3 linked regions of the Tribolium castaneum genome follow. The protein of the gene in region 1 purifies or fractionates together with the protein of each later gene. This does not show direct contact. Links are inferred from orthologs where the notes say so. Each region holds a gene or a part of one and is shown in the gene's direction. Other genes may lie near its edges.

Region 1 (4,084 bases):
CTCAAGTTGGTGCCCACCCGCCCTATGAGCGGCTTTCTCTCCGGCTCTTGTACCTTTTTAGGTGGCATGATCTGCAACACGAGCAACAAGACCGAATTAAACCACCTTTTAGATAAGGTCACGAGTTGGCATTCTGCGCCTTTTTCGTCCATTTTCCGATATGCAAATCGTCGGTTATGCGTTCAAATAATAACACACATCACCGACTGCAACTTAATTTGCACAAAATAGCAATTTTCAATCTGATACCGAAATTGTAACTTAGGGACTTTGCAGAGCGTTCAGCATTTTTAAAAAAGCACTACATAATAATAAGCTCACCGTTCCATAGGCTACAATTTCGAATTTACCATCAATTCCTACTTTCATATTAATGTAATTTGCCACACAGCGCCCCAGGCCCTTAAATCCGCCGTTATAATTTCGAAATTTCGCTGATTTAATCAATTTTTTACTAAAACAAGAACCGTCTCAAATTTCAACCAAATTCGAAAACGCCGCGACCCGTCATCACGCAAACCACCGCCAGGTGGCGACAAGGACCCACACACGATTTAACCCACAAAAACATAATTCCCGCAAAAACGCGACTAAACATTACGCAAAACAAACTTTTTTGTCATCTAATCCCCAAATAAGCAAAACAACAGCGAGACATGAACCCGATCGGCCCAAAAAACACGTGAAAGTTGCATAACCTCAAAGCCATTCTGTCGTTTTTTACCGCAAGACAAAGCCATTAATCGGAATTTTTTTTACACCGATCCATTCATACACTCGCACTACTCACCTCGATAAGGTCTAAAAGTGTTTTTGTTAAAGAATCAGAAAAACTCACAACACTACACAATCACCGGTAACCTATATTTTGACAGATAAGCGATCTTTTTTTAGGTTCGACGCCCGGCTAAAAGGTGGGCAAAAAAATAAAATTTTGATTTGTTAGCACATTTTCCCAAACGAATCATTCACTAATTATTGATTACTAATTAAAAAAAAACCTGATTATAAAATATCTGTAGCTCCCCCCCAAGCAGGTGTTACTCAATTGTTTAAATGCAAAATTCCCAAGGACACTTTCAACCCCTCAACTAATTAATTATTTTCTCATTAAATCTCTACGGAATTGTAAAAAAAAATATTTGGACAAAGTTGGGTAAGACCTACGAAGAACTCTTAAGACAAAATATATTTTTTATTAATGAATTAATTAAATTTGTTCCTGATCGACGTTCGATCGTTTTTTGTTTTAAATAAAAAATCCCCAAATGCAAATTTGACAACTTGACATTTGCAATTATTTGTTTGTGTGAAAAGTGGGACAAAAATGCAAATTTGAGGTGAAAAAGTGTGTTTTGTGCCAAAATTTCGTGTTTACTGAGTCTCTGGTCCTTCGCTGTGTGTGCTTTGGTGAGTGAAACTCAAAAAAAATTAGTTATAATGAACCCGGCTTTTAACAGACGCTCGGATATAACAAACAAAATTATAAGTCCCGTTTTAAAGTCCTATACCTATTGTAGTAACAAACTGGTTCGGTTTTAACGAACAAACAAACATCACTTTTAACGTCCAATATTTAGGCAAAAATACAGTGGCGTCCGTTTATAACGAACCCATTCATAACACACTTGATTGAGTTGTTGCTGAATTAACGCATAGGAAAGGTAAAATCTTGGCCATTTTCGACCAAATCTGGTGATTTTTTCGTTCCACTTTAATAAAAACAGGAAGAAAACCTTGATTTTTGGTCTAAAAACATGTTAAAATTCTCAGAACTTGCAAAAATAATGTCATTTTTGACATAAGTCTTTGATTTATTGAGAAATTTTGCACAATAATGAAGTTTTTGCTGAATAAACGCTTAGGAAAGATAAAATCTTGGTCATTTTCGACCAAATCTGGTGATTTTTTCGTTCCACTTTGATAAAAAACGAAAGGAAATTTTGATTTTTGGTCTAAAAATGTGTTTAAATTTTCAGAACTTGTAAAAATAATGTCATTTTTTACATAATTCTGTGATTTATTGGTTTACTTTTTAAGAAATTTTGCGCAATTATTGAGTTTTTGCTGAATAAACGCTTAGAAAAGGTAAAATTTTGCTGATTTCCGACCAAATTTGGTGATTTTTTCACTTTAGTTTAAGAAAAACATGAAGAAAACCTTGATTTTTGCTCTAAAAACGTGCTTAAACTTTCAGAACTCGTCATTTTTGACATAATTCTGTTATTTATAATTGAGTTATTGCTGAATAAACGCCTAGGAAAGGTAAATTTCTGGTCATTTTCGACCAAACTCTAAACTCGGACTTATCGGACTTATTTGCCTTATTATCATAATATGTAATATTTTTTAATAAGTCTATTTATACTTTATTTCCTGTATCTATTCCAAACTTTGGAACTCCTTTAACTTGAAAATTGTTCTTTGGGTGTTCGTTATGACCGCGTTCCACTGAATTGTTGATTTTGCTATTGCCCACCTTGTGTGTTTGCGCCAAGTAGAAAATTGCGAAAATTTGTTTGTTTGCGAGTAAATGCGTCTTAGAAATAGTATAGAATTACGTATTCCGGAGCAGTTGATTTCCATTTGGGTCCCGGAGCATAGAATGAGCATCGAATCGCACAATTACCGTATGAAGACATCAAAGCGATCGGAAAGCTCACAGGTTATTCAGGAAACCGCAATTGTTGCAAGTGAAGTGCACAAAAGCTTCACCTACAATAGCATTCGCCACATCCGGAATGTCGTAGCTTTTGGTCCTCTGTGTCGTCGTCGATATAATAAAGTATTGCGTTACTCTTAGCCTCGCCGACAGGAAACTGCAAACGTTATTCTGTCATTTTACGAGCCAGCATTTCAAAAAAGCCCATTCTTTGCAAAACATGTTCATTGGACGGGGGCCCTTGGGCCGCTGCCAAGCCTAATTCGCCATAAAAGTAATGAGTCGCTGCCTCATGATATACATTGTCAAAGAAATAAAAGTTTCTGCCTTTGGGGGCCAAATCAAGACCCGGCTCGCTCTTTTATCACTATAATCAGGCCGCCAGCGCCAAGATGGCCAACATCTCGACCACCACGTGAACAATAAGACGGCTCTGATTTTATAAAACTTTTCGGAAAAATTGCGATTTTTTTTTGTTTGAACGAAGCAACTTCCGAGGGTGCTTCCGGTGCACTGTGTGGCACGGGGCGCGATGCAGCTGTGGGGGGCGGAACGAGACCCGCCGCCGGAGAGGACGTCACCTCCTCTAACACATGGTCGCGTCACAATGTGACGGCTTCTTGTTATTTTATATCGGTAAATGTATTAGCGGAGATGGACGGCCTACTCGTTTCATTGCGACAGGGGTGGACACGCGCCCTTGTTTGCCCCAAACAGACCCCCACGAGAGCGACAACAGTATGGAAAAAAATCTTATTCAATTGTACGAAAATGTGTGCTCACAAAGATGGGACTAAATACTTTCGAGAGATCTTTTTTGAAAACATATTAATCTTCAAATCTCGCTTTAAACCGATTTTTTTTTTGTAATCACAATTTGAGAAACGAAAGGACTCGAAGCAGAAGAGGCTTGTTGATTGGTAAAGTCATAAAACAACAGAAGGTACTAAAATTTTATGAACTGTTGCTCTTTTCGAGCCCTGAAGCCCTTTTTCCACAAGGTTTTGCTAAACCGAACCGAAAAATTAGAAAATTAGATGGAAAACGATTACTTTTTGCTTTTTATGAACTAAAAACTCAGTTTTTTTAATTTTGCTAATGTAAAAATAATAAAATTTTTATTGCAATTTTGACTTTAATTTAATTAAAAGTAACATTATTTATAGGTACATGCGTTTGGTGTGAGAACGATCAGAACTTTTTGATATTTCGGAATTTTTTAAGACGAGCTCACCTAATAATTTAATTGCCTCATTAATTTCAGCAAGTTTTCCAAATTAGAAGTTATTAAAATTGTAAGCTTAGTTCATGGTATTTAAGGTGACAGAACCAGATTTTCATAAATAATTGTCTTCTTTAGGCATTTGAGCACATTTTTAAGTTAAAATTTATAGAAATTTTTTAGTAGATTCTTCTAAATCA
Region 2 (4,059 bases), on another chromosome or scaffold:
TTTTTGATAAAACCATTAACATTATTATTAGTTTAAAAAATATTGGTTACGAAAATGGTATACCTAATTTTGGTATGTTTTCATGCTGAAGTAAATTTCTGTCTCCTGTCACATATGACTGACCATGTAAAAACTCGGTCAACGAAGATCCCTAATCCACTTTAAATCATCAGCAACATATATTGTAAAATGCTGAATATTCATGTTATATAAACTAATCTATAGACATTGAAGGAACTTGCTTCATATGGATTTACTAATAATGTCCGGGAAATACAGGGAATGAATTGCCAAGAATGAATGTCTAATATTTTTACAATTATTGCAGACATTATTTTCTGTGTTTAAATACGTACGTATCATTGATTTTTTGGGAAAGTTCATTACATAAAAAGGCAAGGATAATTTGGAATTTCTATTGATGTGATTGTTTAGATAAACAATTTCGTTGTTAATTGTTACTCTACTCACTATAGTGAATACAGTAAATCAAACTCTCAGTAGGAAGTACTGCAGCCACCTTTTATTTTCTGATTTTTTTCTTCAATAAATTTGCCACAAAATTAAAAAATGCATTTTTTATTTCATAGTGAGAAACAACACAAATACGACTATTGAAATGTACCTAAACCTGCCAGCTTGATGAATTTTCGATTTCAAGAAAATTTTACTTGAGATTTAAAAAAAATTGAATTGTTAATTTTAAATATTGCCGACACGTTAATTTTTTTTTGTGTATTAAACAGTATTTAACATTATCTTAATAATAGTATGTTAAAGGAAGAAATATGTTTTTTATCGCGGCAGGTATAAAAATAGCAGTAAAATTTGATAATGAATTTATTAATAAATATTTGTGATAGGCAACCGCACTAAACACTTGTGTTTTGGCAGTTGCCGCCTTGAAAAAATTTCAATATTAAATTTTTTTGAGGTACTATTTATACGTTTGAAAACTGTAAAAGTTATTCACATTAAATCAAATTGCATGTATTTTTTTGATTTTTTAAAAATTTGTAATTTTTTATAAAAGATATTTGGCAAAAAATATGGTTGTATTTTTAAGGGTAATAAACATTTTTATTAAAATTTTAAATATTTGTTGTTATTTTGTTCAAAAACTTCAAGTAAATTAACAAAATTAATTTAATGATTGAATTCAAAATTTTGAAAAATCAGCGGGAGAGCTTTGTTCCTAAAGCGCCAACTTCGTGTTCTTCGAGGGGGAGCGCGCGCAAAAAGCGGCTAACTTCACACTTGGAGTCCGCCATATTGGATCCTCGTGTGGTGAAAGTTGTCATAGAAATGTGTGATTTTCCAAAATTACTTTATTTGTGTAAAATAGACTAAGAACAATTGTAATTATGGCAAATAATAATAATGAAGGTGCCGAAAACAGTCCAGACAACTCGAAAGATGCAGGATTGGATAAGGTTTGATAAAATGCGTTCTTTGCACATATTCGCGCGTTCTCACCTCTAAATATAGCTATAAAAGTTTCTCACGAAATAGTGTCTTTACACTGCCCAAAAGTCGCCCCAGCACCTCCATGCAACCTGGCAGTGCCACCAGCACGCGTTTTTAACCTTAGTTTCTCGCATTTATTTATTTAACCTTGACGTGTAAGGTAGCTAACAGGTCCTATTTTGAATTTGTCTTGCAGTCGTTCGTGGGCAAGTTCGTGTCGGGGCTTTTCAACAGCACCCCCTTGTCCAAGTGGTTCGGCAAAGACTCGGCGTCCAAGTCGGTCAAGAGGCGGGAGGACGACGACGACGACGACGACGACGACTTTGATGCCTCCTACGTTTTCCAGCCACCAAGCAAACGTGTGAAACTACCGTCTGAAGTGGAACACAACAATTACAGTGCACATATATTTGAATCGCCAGTGACTGTGCATAATGCTTCCAATAATGTTAACAATGTTTCGTCGAAAGTGTTTGGGAAGTTTCCTGAACCGGTGGCGGGGCCGTCGGGGGTTAAATCCCGCAAATTGTTCGACAGACACCGTTCTGCTAGCACAAATACGGTCTCTACCAATTCGTTCGAAAATCAAGAAATTGTTAACGGTGAGAATGACTCTGACAGTGAAGAATCAACTAGTGGCTATTCTTCGGCACCCAAATTGCTTAATCAACCCAAAAGTGCAGAAATATCTCACAAGGAAACATGTGAAAAAGTCACTCCTAAAACTAGGTCCTTGTTTACTTCATGTAAGTTTACGTTACATAATGTTTGTTTTTAGTTTTTTTGCAGTGTTTTCTTAACTTTGGCAACCGTTGGGTACATAATTGTCTCAGGAATACTTTATTATACTTTTAGTATTGTGACTCATGCCAGAAAAATGCACAATATGAAATTACAAATTATCAAAACTCATAAATACGATCCGTTTAAAACCATAAGAAACTGATAATACCACAAATGATTAAATTAAAGTTTTTCTCTTATCAGCAACTTTCATGCTTTTGTATACAAAAAGCAGGTCTCCAGTTACCAAAGTAAGAAAAATGTTTACGCTCATTGCTGTTAGCTAAAGTCTGTAAAAGACCTCTTACATTTATATCATTGCCAGTATCTGCAAGACTCTTATGACGAACATAAGTTGTTTGGGTATGAGGTCAAAGTCTAGTAAAAATTGTATTTATGCAATAAAGGTAAAATAAACTATCTGATCTGTTTATAGGCTTCTAATGAGATATTGATAATTGTATGAAATAAGGTTAAAATACGTACCGATATAATAAACTTGTTATGGTTATTAATGGAACTAGTAATTTCCTTGTTTTGTTTTCTTTTATAATATTTGACCTCTAGGTTAAAGTACAGCATCGCTGTACACACAAAAATGTCATCACTTTCATTATACCTACGTGACGAGCAACAAGTAAATTAGTCACTGTTCTCGTATTGTTAATAAATTTTGTTTTACATTTTTACCTTTTTTTTTAAATTCTTGAAATTCCGGCTCGTCATTTTTGAGCTTGTCTTGACTTTTATCTATTTTTACCATTTATTAATTCACTATTATGAGCACTTTGTTGTCCTTTTTATAATTAAATTCAGAAACCTAAAAAACTCTTTCTTCTACCTTCTTGGGTGAATTTCAAAAATTAGCGTTATAAAAAATTATACACTTATTAGAATATCAGGTTCTATAATAAAATTGCTTTAACAAGAAGATTTAAATAGTTTAAATCTGGACAATATGTCACAAATCGCGTCTATTCAGTTTTTCACTGAGTCTGATATTTTTTCACTGGAATTAATGAAAACGTAAAAAATAATCGTTTGTTGCCGACAGTAGGTCGAGTAAAGATTGTTTTAAAAAAATGGGGAAGAGGAAACGTGATTTTTTTATTTTTTGTTATTAAAAAAAATACAGTTTAGCGAAACACCAGTCTTTACATAATTTGCTTTTCATATTGTGTACTCGGAAAAGGGGAAATAAAATCTTAGTCATGTTCTAAGTCTATGATTTAATTCTTGATGAATCATCTTTGCCAAAATTTGAACCGGTCGAGCTTGATAATGGAAATTATAATACAATGAAAAAATCCATGAGTATTATTCCGGCTTCAAATGCAGACTTGGAGTATTTTTGCTTATTTTTGCTATTTTCAGGATTGAAAATATACAATTTTGAGTACTTTTTATAAAAAAATATTCAAGAGTTGGCAAAAGTATGGACATTATACTTCAAATAGTTATTTAAATTGTGCCACACTCCTTATAAATCATGTGTTTTTATGAATATTATCGGTTTTGTGTTTTCTTTAGGCTTATTAATTAAAAAATTGAAACAATCAATTCGTTTTTTAGCAAACGAATCAAGCGGACGTACTTTATTCTCGGAAAGAAGCCCCAACATGAACACTTCTTTGAGTTCAAGACGGCCATCGTTTAACGCATCGACTTTCGGCTCGCCGAACTTTATTGACAGAACATTGTCTACCAAGAGAATATTGAGCTCACCTTTCTATAGCGGCAATACAATTTATGGCGGCGCCTCTGCATACGGACGTAGGTTAGGTAAAATTAGCGAAGAAACGAATTCTA
Region 3 (3,952 bases), on another chromosome or scaffold:
GACTCGAAGTCGTTCAGGATTTCTTCTAATATCGGTTTAGAATTAAGTGGCGATGTCTAAATGTGACCCTTAGCCCAGTGTTGAATATTGTTTCTTTCTCGCTCGAAATCATGAAAATACTCGTCGCAAGTCAATTATCAAAACGTATCATTGTTTGACTTGTTTCTGGCGCTAGCTGTGATATGTTAAAAAATCCTGGACGCGCTTCAGCCGTTGCTAGTTTTTAAGGGAGATAATATACTTGTGATTTCTTGTTAAAATTTCTAAATTCTAGTAATCGTAAGTGTTCAGTTGAACGGTACAATGGGGTCGACTAAAAGCAAGGATGTTGTAGAACTACGACTTATGATATCTTAATACGCTTTTGAGCTGTGTTCGTGTTGAACAGGGTTTTGTGCAGATTAGACAGTTTTTAAATGAACCACTCACATTGTTGTTTATTCCGTGCCTCTTACGTTTGAAACACACTGCACACAGACGTGTGCGAACGGTTTTTGGTTCCGTCACCGGTTTTTCTTTGACAATAATATTTAGCTTGGTTTGTTGTAGGAATCTGGCAAAGTCCTATGCTATACAAAATATCAGCTCTGTACATTTTAATATATATGCCAAATATTATTAAGAGCTAAGTATAATATATAAATTGGATAGTATATTTTATGTTAAGATTTAAGATTATGTGATTTTATTGTTGAGGCATATTGGTATCATATTTGGATAAAAAGTATTTAATAAAAAAATGTCTATATTACACGGATTTGCTTTCTTTCAGCCCTCAGTTAAGATTAGTATCTTTAAAAACTGATTATTTTTAAACACTGGACTTTATTTTTGCATAGTTTTTTTTTTGCCGAACGCACTTTTTTGATTCACTACCCCCTACCCCCAGGTGTTGCGCCACCACTGGCAAGAAACAAGTAACAATTCGGTTCTTTTCAAAGCAAAAGCAACAGTAACGTGCCTAAAAATGGCATAAGGTAGCAAGCGATTTCATGATACATTCGTTTTAGCCGTTGTTAGACGGAAATTTGCGTAATTGCCTTTAAATTAGCCCAATTAATTTTGAAAAAACGCGAAGATCTTTGGTCCCGGGAGATGTCGCCAGGGTACAAAGCATGCGCAGAGTCGCGCAAGCCAATGGTAACCGTATATTCATCACAGCCCACTCTGCCGTTCACAAAATGTCACTTCTCTTATTTCGTTTCGCCATATTGGTCGTTGGGTGCGCATGAAATCGTCGACCATTCCCCTTTCATGGACAAGTTTCGGGGTAAAAGTACCGCTGCATAAGTGTCCAAGTGCAATTTCGGTTTTGTACATAGCAAATTCGCGATAGCCTGTGAAACAAAGTTTGTTTTGTGTGTGAAGTGTTAGCGACAGAACTAAAAATGGCGTGCGCTACTCTGAAACGTTCCTTGGATTGGGAGCCCGTGCTGGGGGGCCGTCCGGCCAAACGCAGGCGCTGCATTCCCTTCTGCGAGAGCCCCACGCACAGAGACAGGGCTTCGCCTCCGGCCACCTCCTCCTCCCCCAAGCCCAAGTCCGTCTTTCCCGATGTCGTCAGCCAAAAATTGACCCCTGGTAAGTGGACAGGGCCGGCCTAAGGGCCTTTGCGGTTGTTGACACTCGGTCTCAGCTGATCGCCGATAAAGGAATGACGTCCGAGGGACTTTTTACAGGACCGATTTTAATTCCGTGTTAATTGCTTATCTTGCTCGAATTCGTTGGAGCATCGTGATTTTAGAAATTGAGGTTATCCGCTCGTGTTATCTCAACGTTTTTAGGTTATTTTTGCCGATTTAACCAAATCTGGGTGCGGGTATATTGATTTTGGAGCGGAGGGGAGCGAGGACATTAAATTTTATAATTGGGGCTTACAGGCTCTCACGCTTTGGATGCCTGGATTCGATTAGAGTTTTATGGGAAATTTCATGACCGATCGAGGAATACATAAATCTTCCATGATTTGAGTCATAATTTTTTCATAGCTAACTGTAATAATGAAAGATACTTAAGATTTTATTGTGATATTTAGAAGCTTGAAGATAAAACTTAAGTTGAGCTTGTACCAACATGACTTCCTAGATTGTGAGCCACGTTAAAAACGCACGTATTTTTTTGTCATTCTATTTCCACTTTTTTTGAGCCGACAAATTTCACTAAATAACGAAATTGGTGGTACGAGTATATTTTTTTAAGAGAAATGCCAGATCACAAAGGATTATCTTTTCAGCCCTCAGTTAAGATTAGTATCTTTAAAAACTGATTATTTTTAAACACTGGACATTTATTAACCTTTATTTTTGCATAGTTTTAGTTTTTTTTTGACGAACGTATTTTTTTGATTCACTACCTCCTACCCCCAGGAGTTGCGCCACCACTGGCAAGAAACAAATAACAATTCGGTTCTTTTCAAAGCAAAAGCAATTTATATTTTTTTAGGGGAAATGCCGGATTACAAAGGATTATCTTTTCACTAAAATAAACTTCAAACAACTTGACATCAAATAATTATTATTTTTCGTATTATTGGTAACATGGTGACTATTTTTAGAGTTAAAAAAAGTCTCTGTAGAAAGAATGTTGTACCATTTTTTTAATAAAATTTATTTTCATTACCTGTTTTATGTTAGAGCGTGCTTAAAAGCTTTTTTAATGAAGTCATTAAAGCTTATACATGTTCTCTTGAAAACAAAATATATTGACCTCATATTTTGTATCAGCTCGTAAAGCTCGTTTCAGACATGCTTGAACAAAATTTAATTTGTAACACAGTTACAAATTAAATTTTTCTATCATCTTGTTTGAATCACATATAAATGAAGTTATAAATTGTGTTAACACTTTTGTTAGTATGATTCTGATTTAGTTATTATCTTTATTAAATGCTGATGCGTACAATTTTTCGATTTTTTATATAGGATGGTAAAATAATCTAGTAATAAAACAAAAGTAAATACAACAATAATTTTATTAGAAACATTAATCGATTTGATTAGTATTTTCATTGTCATCATTCATTTACCTTTTTTGTTGTTGAACTGTTATAAAATAATTTGTGCCAAGAAAGATTAAACAAATAAACAATACGTTAATTGTTTTGTGTATGCGTAAGTATCTGAACATAATATGAAAATAAGGGGATAGGGGAAAACACCAGTTTTAAATTGAATCATTTTTGGAGGGAACGTAAAAATTTACAAGAATTATACTACTTAAAGTCAGCTTATTAGGAAGCATTACTACGAAAGAGATGTCAAAGACCTTTTCTGTGAAAATATTAAGTCGCAGGTATAAAGGTGCTGTTTGAAAATCAATGTGTTATGGAATGGTTTTCTTGTTTTTTTTTGTAATTAATTAATATATTGTTTTTTGAATGTATGATAATGTCTTAGGCTGAGCATAAACCTAACAATTGTTTAAAATTCAAAAAAACTATTTGTTGTTTTCTAAATTGTACTGGATTTCGAACTTTATATTTTATATCAGTTGCTACGGTTGAAATAAATCCATTGTAAACACACATTTTGTTGTTTTATTTATTTAAAATTTAAATAATAGTACGAAATATAAGTAATAATTTAGTAAATTTTAAAATTAAATACATATACAGTTTTGTTTGGATTTAAAGACCAATGATTTCGATGTTTTGTCCGAAATCTGACTTCCTGGAAAAATATTCCCATTTATCTTATCAGCATTATTTGAGAGTTTGGGTTTAGGATGCTTTTACTGCCCGTAATCTGGTAATTTTTCGAAGCACTTGGTAATGGTAGTTGGTCGTAAAGGGATAAGAGATGGGTAAAAGCTCATCCCGACTTAGAAGGACACCTGTGTCTAGATTCGCGGATAGTGACGTTGTGGCTGTGTCTCTAGGGTTTTTTCTGAAAATTTTACGGCTTTGTAAATTGAATTAAATGTGCCACTGCGTGACTGGTGGGTCATAAGCATA

Evidence for each region. Proteins that work in one complex are often made in the same cells at the same time.
Region 2: the proteins of Ran (region 1) and Nup153 purify together in Homo sapiens (affinity purification with mass spectrometry; 5 studies listed by BioGRID and IntAct, counting the BioPlex papers as one, with this or other methods). This does not show direct contact. The link is inferred for Tribolium castaneum from reciprocal best matches to the Homo sapiens genes RAN and NUP153.
Region 3: the proteins of Ran (region 1) and akirin purify together in Homo sapiens (affinity purification with mass spectrometry; 3 studies listed by BioGRID and IntAct, counting the BioPlex papers as one, with this or other methods). This does not show direct contact. The link is inferred for Tribolium castaneum from reciprocal best matches to the Homo sapiens genes RAN and AKIRIN2.

The regions. Positions count from the first base shown.
Region 1 is NC_087395.1:25,444,935-25,449,018, forward strand, and holds the start of Ran (GTP-binding nuclear protein Ran), read left to right. Parts: upstream 1-1,278; 5' UTR 1,279-1,410; intron 1,411-4,084. UniProt on the Homo sapiens protein: GTPase involved in nucleocytoplasmic transport, participating both to the import and the export from the nucleus of proteins and RNAs. Switches between a cytoplasmic GDP- and a nuclear GTP-bound state by nucleotide exchange and GTP hydrolysis.
Region 2 is NC_087394.1:31,197,834-31,201,892, reverse strand, and holds the start of Nup153 (nuclear pore complex protein Nup153), read left to right. Parts: upstream 1-1,250; 5' UTR 1,251-1,364; coding exon 1,365-1,433; intron 1,434-1,663; coding exon 1,664-2,213; intron 2,214-3,822; coding exon 3,823-4,059. UniProt on the Homo sapiens protein: Component of the nuclear pore complex (NPC), a complex required for the trafficking across the nuclear envelope. Functions as a scaffolding element in the nuclear phase of the NPC essential for normal nucleocytoplasmic transport of proteins and mRNAs.
Region 3 is NC_087398.1:5,661,499-5,665,450, reverse strand, and holds the start of akirin (akirin), read left to right. Parts: upstream 1-1,143; 5' UTR 1,144-1,388; coding exon 1,389-1,581; intron 1,582-3,952. UniProt on the Homo sapiens protein: Molecular adapter that acts as a bridge between a variety of multiprotein complexes, and which is involved in embryonic development, immunity, myogenesis and brain development.